2 linked regions of the Xenopus tropicalis genome follow. The protein of the gene in region 2 interacts with the protein of the main gene of each other region in a pairwise test. Links are inferred from orthologs where the notes say so. Each region holds a gene or a part of one and is shown on either strand. Other genes may lie near its edges.

Evidence for each region. The genes of interacting proteins can lie anywhere in the genome.
Region 1: the proteins of reep6 (region 2) and litaf interact in binary tests that used the Homo sapiens proteins (3 or more experiments, as listed by UniProt). The two-hybrid records come from large-scale screens. The link is inferred for Xenopus tropicalis from reciprocal best matches to the Homo sapiens genes REEP6 and LITAF.

The regions. Positions count from the first base shown.
Region 1 is NC_030685.2:36,369,846-36,374,739, reverse strand, and holds the start of litaf (lipopolysaccharide-induced tumor necrosis factor-alpha factor homolog), read right to left. Parts: upstream 3,063-4,894; 5' UTR 2,936-3,062; intron 1-2,935.
Region 2 is NC_030677.2:99,403,974-99,408,977, reverse strand, and holds the start of reep6 (receptor expression-enhancing protein 6), read right to left. Parts: upstream 3,128-5,004; 5' UTR 3,094-3,127; coding exon 2,979-3,093; intron 1,971-2,978; coding exon 1,877-1,970; intron 1,485-1,876; coding exon 1,346-1,484; intron 584-1,345; coding exon 415-583; intron 327-414; coding exon 253-326; intron 1-252. UniProt on the Homo sapiens protein: Required for correct function and survival of retinal photoreceptors. Required for retinal development.

The DNA.
Region 1 (4,894 bases), on a different chromosome or scaffold from region 2:
CATGAAAAAGTGCCTCAAGGTACCAGGGCAGCAAGTCACGAAAATGACTTCTCCACATGACTGAAGATACATATCCATCTTTAAAGGGGACAAGTTTTTGAAATATGCACATTCATTTGGGCTTGTTTAAAATCACATGTATAATCACTACGTGAACTGCAAAAAAAAAAAAAATATATATAAACCCATTTGTTTTACATAGACATACACTATTCCACAGATATAGAGAAAACACAATGACCTGCTTCTGACTCACACAGTCCACTGCCCACCCCCAGTTAGGCTGACAGTCATTCAACCCCTCGCTCATATTGTACTGTGGTGAAGTGATGGATTTATAGAGTTGAAGTTCCTCTGCTTTCCACAGTGGCCACTGCATAGATCCTTTAAAAAGCAACTTCAAGTCCCAGGGGTTGAATGACTCTGCCAGGCTAAAGCTGGCCGTATACACACCGATAAAAACGAGATTTTGTAAGATTTTTGGACCATGTGTGGGCTCTGAATTATCGTCCCAATCATTTTCTTACTATGGTGATTGGTCATTTAGCCAATCGGTCAGGTTAAAAATTTTGGTCGGCTAACATGCATGTTTTGTGTATCGGACAATATCCTTGGGGGACCTACAATGGAACTTTTGTAGGTTTGGTGTCTGCAACTATTTCATGTTCAGAACATCCTCCGATGTATTATTGTCATATTTTATAACTCTTCTTTCTATTCAGGCCCTTTCCTATTTATAACCCAATGTCTCACTCACACCACTACTTGGTTGCTAAGGTAATTTGGATCCTAGCAACCAGACAGCTGCTAAAACAAAAAGCAAAATAATTCAAAAACCCCACATAAAAAAAATGAAGACCAATTGCAAATTGTTTCAGAACAGCACACTCTACATCATAATAAACGTTAATTTTAAGGTAAACATCCCCTTGAAATGTATGACTGACATCCAAACTTCGTCGGAAAAAGACTAAAATCTGAACATGTACGGCCACCTTAAGGGGTGGGGAAATGGTCCCTATGAGTCACAGGAGATAATTATGGCTCTCAGTCTGAGGAATTGTTTATGTTTTACTTAAGCCCAATGATGCTATAATGGTGGAAAAAATGATCTGAATACACTGAGTATGAACACTGGATCATTGCTTTTCTTTTCAGTTTACTGGAAAGTGTACTATTTTGCAGGCCTGGACTGGCAATCTGTGGATTCTGGCTAGTGCTAGAGGTAGTGCTCTAAGATGCCATAGCCCCCCACTGCCCACTAAATAGTGACTGACCGTTTGGCCCTCTGTGTACTTGAAATTCCAGGGCCTATTTTGAACACCAGTGAGGACTTGCTACTTTGCAATTTATAAGCAGCACTTTCCAAATTATGGCATAGGGTTTGGGATTTAAAATAATACTGGTACACACACATTCTGTAAACTGCGCAACAGGATTAGGGACTCCTGCAGTACAGATGGGCTAGTTGTGACAGGCTCAAAGTCCCAATTTAGAAACCCGAGAATGTTAGCAGAATGTTTGTATGAAATATTCAATAATCTGCAATTCATAGAGGAAGGTATGTCAGCCTGACTGGTACATGAAAGTTCCACCTTGTAAACTCTATCACACTATAGCTGTTACTATTGGACAATGTCACAGATTTCAGTATTTCTTCTTTATGCCTTTTAGTTAGACTAAATGAATTGGTTTAACATTGTCTAGCCCTTTAAAGGGGCAGAATACATATAGAAAAATAGTATATACATACACAAAGACCTTTTTTTCAATAGGAGCAGAATTAATAGAACTTGTGCTGAAATTACATTCTGTGTATTCTAAACTGCAAAGGAATCATGCCAAATAGATTTATGCTGCTGTTAAAGAAGCATCTAAAGAACTAACAAAAAAAAGTCACTAATTTTATTTGCACAGGCCTATAGTAGCCATGTCCAGCTAAGGTTAAAGCCCTTTCCACTCAGCAGTGGTACTTACCTTCCAGGTACCAGAGTGCCTAGCCCCAACTGCACATTCCCCTTGCTCTGGGCTAGGAGGAGGAGGTGTTAGACTAAATAAAGGAGCCAGAAAGGCAATTTAGGGGCAAACAGAGGGCTATACCTACATAGGGCTTCTGTTCTTAAAGCAGTACAGTTGTACAGTTGAATAATTTCACACAAGAGGCTTTCACTGTCCCAATGTTAGAAATGGAAAATCTTGAAACGTTTTCAAGGAAAAAACTCAGAAAAGTCCAGTTGTTTTAGACTTAATTCTACTAGATACTGTATATCATGACCTGGATGAATGAGAATCTTCATAGACATATTGCAAACAACATATTTTCCGTAAATGGTAGATCTCTCATTTTAACAAGAGGAATCATAATTATAGTGATTTTGTTTAATAACAGATGATTCAACCAATTTATTGTGTCCAAATGCCAACAATGTTAGGGCTAGCTGATAGGAAATATGTAATAGGCAAAATAATAATACAATGATAATATGGCTCAGCTTAATGCGATCATCGAGCCCCATGTGTTGCTAAATACCTGTACCCACAAACACACCATGATACTCTCACCCTGCTGCTGCGGCCGGATACAGCTCCCTGCATAGCAAACTTTCCAGCTCCAACCCACACACACATCTGTAGCAGCTGCCATCTTTGCGCTACCGGCGCACACTTGCACACACATACACAACCCAGTATGTATACACGGACAGAAACATTACAGCCAAGCAAGCGTATCGGTAAGAAAGAGCGATTGCTTCTAACACAGAGCAAGTGACATCACTCGTTCCCGTGCAGTTCGCCAGCTGCGGCCGGACTACAACTCCCAGCATTCCTCATCTTCATCCACAGCTGGAAAGCAGCGGTTCATAGTTCGAAGTGTGAAAACTTTATAGAGTAAACGTGGAAAGCGATCCTTGGGTGAGGGGAGACAGGCACGTACCTCAAATTTGACAGAAATGGTCCCTTGAATCTGTCTAATACCAGAGGAGAACGCAACGACAAGCTTCAGACAAGCAGATCCAAGTTAGGCACACTAAAGCTAGGGACTGTACTCCCACAACTCTGGAAACATACGGAGAAAAACTTGCAGCGGGCGTGGCTTACGAGGCACCGCCCTATCCCGCTGTTAAACTGAGGGGCGCGACGCTGGCCCGGAAGCGCTGAGAGTACACCGTGTGCGTGTTCCAAGCAAGGAGCCCGAGTTCCCCAACGCTGCGCTGCTCCTCCCCTTATAGTACGCTTTCTTTGCCATGAAATAGCGAAACTTTTTCACCGGAAGTAAGTGTGCTTCTGTTTTGGAGTAGTTTCAGTTCTCACGAAGGTGAAGGTTATGTGCATAGAGTTTCCAGCCCAGCCAGCTGTCCCAGGTTTCGCAGGACAGAGCTTATTGTCTCTGTTTGCTCAGGCGAGTTTGTATTCCTTGAGGGGTGCAGGCAGCTGCACTGTTGTGCCATACTGTAGTCATACTATAGTCATACTGTGGTCATACTTGGCCTGATTTGGTCAGTGTGCTGATTTCATACACCCTGCCTACCATCATCTGGGCATGTATGCTGGTTCTGGGGCAGTTTACTCTGAAGCCAGCATGTTGGATCGCTGGTGATCGGACACTAAGGGGCGTATTTATTATGCTGTATAAAACTTAATTCGGCGAAAAAAAGCTGTGTAAAATAAATGGAAAAGATCACCATCTGAACGCCGGATATTACGCCATTATTTTCCATAAGTTCCGGTGGAAAAAAAATGCGTAAAAGAATTACGCCGTTTTTACGCCATTTTTACATGGCGATGTGTGACAAATTTTCTCTATAATAAATATGCCCCTAAGCTGCGGCCTGCACAGTTCCACTTCTCACCATATGATGACCGGAAAGGGAAAGTCTTTCTAAAAATGGAATAAACACCAATGAGGTATGGTGTACAGGCAAACTGTAGGTTCTGGCAAATGCCAGGAGGACTATTGTCAATTTTTAACGGACAGTCACAGTGTTTTGGGGCTGATTGGGCTTCTGTGTACTTGAAATGCCAGGGCCTAATGATGTGCTGGTAATAATAGTATATCTGTAATTTGTAGCACAGACTCATCCTAAGGCACTGCACCCAGGATCCTGTTGGTGGGAACCTCTGAAGCTGCAAAGGGTGCCATATGGAACCTTTCTCATAGCACCCTATGCAGCTTCAGAGGTCAAACTCAGATGATGGCCAAACTGGCATAATAAACATTGCATATCACCCTCTGTCCATTCAAAGAAACGATAATATGGCAGCTTTGGCCTGTGTATGAAACTGGTGGTAGATCAATGGAATGCATTGTAATTTGTACACTGCTCTTTCATTGTCAGTGGGTACGCACTGCAACATTCTTGCACAGGACATGATTTACACTAAGGACACAGTCCCACGTGGTGTCCTGTCCTCTTTCTCTTGTGTTTTGTAGGCAAGAGGAGAGATAGGGGGTCCCTATACCTGCCTGTATGTTGCTTCACAAACTGGCACAGTGTTAGCCTGAGTGCAGCTAAACAGAACAGAGATCACCCCCCAAAAATGCGAGCATGCATTTTTAGGCGGTTTCTACTAGTTTATTTAATGCAGTGCCGGTGTCCTTGCAAGAATGGACTGTGGACAGTTGTGACCTTAAAAAACTGCTCCTTTTTATTAAAAATATTATTTGTCTTCGGTACAGAAATCTCAAGACTGTTTTCCCTGTCTTTCTCAAGATGCATTTGAAAATAGAGCACATTAAAACACTAGTGAGCACTTGTATGTGTGTACCTTGGTATGAATGAATGATGTCGAAAGGACCATAAACCCCCTTATAGCACTGATCAGCAGTACTGGATAAATGAAATCACCACTTCTTCCATAAATTCATCACAGTGGTTTATATTTATACCTTTAC
Region 2 (5,004 bases):
CATATCATTATATTTAATTGTGTAGGATTATTCAGGGCCTGTTTATCAGAGGCAAAATGTATGAGTTCAATCTTAGGCCCCTAAAAAATCCTGTACAAGAGAAAATGAGTAATGAAATATGCCTGCAGTGATCTGTACTGGAACCCTTTGATAATTATGCCCCTTTCATCAACACAGTGAGCAAAACCTAACACAAAAAACAACTATAAGCTCAAGCTGAGCTCTCCTCCTCTTGCTAGTTTGTTTACATACAGAGGTGCTGGGGAGAGCTTGCTGGCCTCCCTCACGTGCCAGAAGGGTTCTGCTGCTGGTCAAGGTATGCAGGACTGTAGCATTAATACAAGAAGAGAGAATGTGAATTTAAGGTGCCTAGGATGTCAAAAGGGAAATAAATATAGCAACCAGAATGTGTACCTCCTCTAGTGACAGATTCAGCTGTGTTTAGAGCCTGTCCTCCAAGGTCACTAACAACGCTGTCCACCGTTCGATGGTGCTTCAGGAAAAATGGGCGGATGAACCGGTCATATAGAATCTGAGAGCCATTCCATGAAAATGGAGCCATACACCAAAGTAAGAAGCAACACTGTAGAGAAACCCATTGACACACTGATTAGAAGGAAGCAAGTAAGGCAGACTTGATCAATATCTATGGTAAACAATGTAAAAATAAATTTCAGTCTTGTAATTAGCATTTGATGCAATAAAACCTAACTGGGATTCTAAATTTCTGAATACAGATCTTGCATCTAAATGCAAGATAAAGTCATACTGTTGTTGGCATTATCAACTATTATCATAATAGGTTATTATTATTTCAATTATTTACACCCCTCAAAAGCAAGACTGGACTGTGCCAGCATAATGAAGTATTCATTATAAAACACTGAATTTCAATAAAAAAAAAAGGCTCTCAGAGCAGTTCACCAATACACAGAGGTGAGATAGGCTCTAAATAAATGCAGAAGCTTTATAGATTAATATATGAATTACTAGCATGTGATTTGAGGTGACTGTTCAATACTTAAAAACATTCTCTTTCTTAAGAGAAGCTATAGCTAGCCAAACATGTCAAAAACTGGTCCGGCAATGTGTCTGCTTTTTCCCCTTACTGACCAACTACCTGGACATATATTCCAGGTTATAACTCACCAAGATGAAACTTTCAAACATACCAGATCTGTGATCCCACAGGATTACAGGATTGCAGGATTAGATGTAAAAATTATAAATCAGAGAAGGGGAAAAGTTCAAGCAAATTTTTTAAAGCATTCTCACCTTTCTTTTGGCAAATGACAAACTCAAAATGAATATTTTTAGCACTTTCACCTGTCCCTTAACTACTGACCTTGCCCAGGTAGTAAAATGGAAACCAGAAGAGAAATATGTCAGAGAAAAATTCCACTACACTGAACACGCCATATACCACCCAGTATGTCAGCCATATTGTGTCATCTTTTTTATCTGGGCTTTCAATAGCTTTAACCCTACAAGACAAAATGAGAAATTGTAGATTTTACATTAGTATAGTATTAGCAACAAAGTGTCAAAACACTAAGGAGCAGATTTACCTAGGTGTGAGATTACAGCTCACCACAGAAAAATTCACCCACTTTCTATTCATTCCCAAGTGTTTTTATAAACGGGAGAAAATTAAAGCTTGCCATTTGATAAATACACTTTTAAAAATCCCGTGGGAATGAATAGAAAGTATGTCATTTTTTCTGTGGTAAACTCTAATCTCACACATTGATAAATCTGCCTCTTAACAGGAGAAACATTCTCCAACAGGTACAAACACTTTAATCTACTTTTCCTTCCCCCATCCAGAAGACACTCTAATCTCATTCACTGCTGAGGAATAAATCCGGATACTTACGAAACATAGGCTGGGTACACAAAGCCAATCAGATTGCAGACAAGAGAAGCCCCATAGCCAAATATAAGGTACAGCCCTAGGGAGCAGATGGAACCTAGGAAGAAAAGCATTGTAATAAAAAAAAGAATGAACATTTGTATGTATATCTTTATTTATAAAACACTACTTATGTACGCAGCGCTGTACAGTAGAATACATTAATACAAACAGGGGGTTACTAAGATAATAGATAAATACAAAGTATAACAATAAATACAAATATATACAAGATACAGTTACAGTTGCAATAAGTTAAGAGTCAAAGACACAAGCGGATGGAGGTCCCTGCCCCATAGAGCTTACAATCTATATACATTTACATATTTAGTGAGCTCCCTAGAGTAAGGAAGGGAAATGTTGCTCTTTATATCAGTGTCTTAAAAGGTGGCCAATGGGTGGCATGCTGTGACCTTCACATTAGGATACTCTTATTCACAGACAGCATAAGAAAATGATAAGGCACATGACAGGCCAGATATGTAGATGTGGCTGTAACAGCACCCAAAGCAGATCACTTATTAACCATAACGATTATACAAGAACGACTAGTACCCAAGCAGATGGAATGTGGTATTATTTTTCACCAACATAAAATACAATGTGCAGCAGTCATAAATAGGGGCCACATGTGAGGCTACTGAAATCTTGCAACTTGACCTCGGCTTCTCAGCATGGATTCCTGCAGAACGTGGTCTGGGACGTAAAGCTAATGCAGCGACATAATCCCCCTGTCTGGCTCCAGCAGCCTCACACGTTCTATTCAATGGCTTAGTGCCCCACTTATTAGCAACCCCTCTTACTTTTTTGTATTGAATGTAGCCATATACACGATGCCACACGCAATCACAGTGGAACTATCTACTCCTTCTTCGTCGCACTGAATGATCACGTTTAAATCACAAGCTAGAAGGGTAGTTGTCATTTAAACAACTCTCTATACAAATACAGGAACACTGAGACGGAAGCCCCTTTTAACCCTGTCCTGAGCATGCCGTCTAATTACACGTCCACCTGTTAGCAGATACAGAACTCCTGTCATAGCCCCGAATAATAGCTAGCTCACCCGAAGCAAGATAATACTTTTTGATCCCAGTTTTCTCCTCAGCCTTCCCCAATAACCGGGATACGAAGTTGTCTCCATTCAGAAAGTTCTGGAGGCGCTCCTTGATAGAAGGCATGGCTATGGAGCAAGGTCCAGGTACTGGGGACAAACAGATAATCTACAGGGTCTGAGCCGTATGCGGGCGCACCGGCTGGACTGCAGGGGGGGGGGGAAGTGTCACATGTTCAAAACCCAATCACATCGAAGGGCGTGTCCTCTTCGAGCAGGTGAAGGCGGTTCAGGGAACAAGTGCTGTGAGAGTGTTAGCGTTTAGCTGTATCTCTGTGAATTTAGGTGAGGTTAACGTGCCTTTATGTGCAGGACTTCAACGTAAACCTATTATTATTTTTCTGGTCTTTTTTTTCCATAATTTGGGTAACCCGAAGCTCTGAAACAAATCGTGTTTCCGGGATTGTGTGAATCCAGTAAGCATAGTCAGTTAGTGGTGGTATAAGTAATAACCATTTAAATGATTATTTGGGTATTAATACTTTTGCTTTTAACATCACTTCATATATAATCATTTCCTGCTGCCTTCCAAAATAGTTCCAAAGTAACTGTTAAAGGGGGACTAAACCCCAAAATAAACTGATGTAGCGTTGTTTCCCAAGCGCTTTTGCAATTTACATTCATTTTTTTTATTTTTAGAGGCTTTTGATATATTTGCATTAGGCAGTGCCAAATTTGTGGCATCTGTTTTAAAAAATGAAAGCTTCTAAAGTTAGCAGAGGCAGCTTTTTGCCACCTGCATTCAGATCAACTGGGAGTCAGCAAGCCAAGGGTTAAATGACTTCAGGCAGTGTAAAGATAATAGACAGAGTTTCTGACACTATAGGCCTTTAATAACCGTTGAGCTGAAATCTGCCTAGCAGTATAAGGCTGATGCCAGATGTGGCGTTTTTACACTGTAAATTCTAATTCACTCAGCGGCTGAAAAACGCACAATATCATCATCCATAGAAAACACACTATGTGTAAATACGCAAATACATAAATACGACTTCTCATGCGTTTGCCGAAATACGCCGTTATTTGCACAGCAACTTATTCCTATGTATACACAAAGGCAGCTTCCAGACCTAGCGGAAATACGCAGCGTTTTTTACTATTTTGCACTATTAGCTCCATGGGAACCAGGATTTGCTACGTCACCAGTACTAGGCTGAAAAATGCCATAGTCAGGGGCTGTGTGGCTTGTGCGGCGTTTTTAGGCGGAGAAAATACGCAGCGTAAAAACACCACGTCTGGCATCAGCCTTAAACTGTGAACCAATTAGACTAATATCACAGAAACCAATTAAAACAGAAAAGTATGTATAATGTATGTATAACTTTATTTATAAAGCGACACAAGGGTACACAGCACTGTGCAATCTTACAATATACAAAATTACACACAAGAAAGACGAGTGTTATAATAAATACAATAAATAAGTATAAATGCACAGGGAGTAGGTGCCATGTGGTATGAGACACAGTAGGAAGGAGGTCCCTGCCCCGTAGAGCTTACAATCTAAGTGCCATCTTGGAAGAAAATTGGGGTGACTTATTATTTGCTGTCTTTGATATTCTTTAATTTTTAGCTAGGTTTTTGACATTTATTTTTATAAATCTATATTCCTCATATGAATTAATGAGTTCTTTACTTGGGGGATTCAACAAAAGTGGTGTTAAGCTGGCATTAAATTGGAATAAATTAATTGCCTACACAAATCCACAGTTGTTTAACTGTTCTCTTTTTTATGACATTCTATGCTAGAAATGTTTTTTTTCTTATGTTGGTGGAATATAGTTTCACATTTATGGATGTATCTGTAATTAACATAAACAAAATTGCATTAATAGTGCCAAGAAATGTAGACCTACATCAATCTGTCATTGGGTGTATACATAGATTTGTGTATTTTTTAAATTGTACCCCAAATTAGTTAAAGTTGCACTCAGATCTAAAATTTAGTGCAAAAAAAACACAACAAAAAATAGAAAAG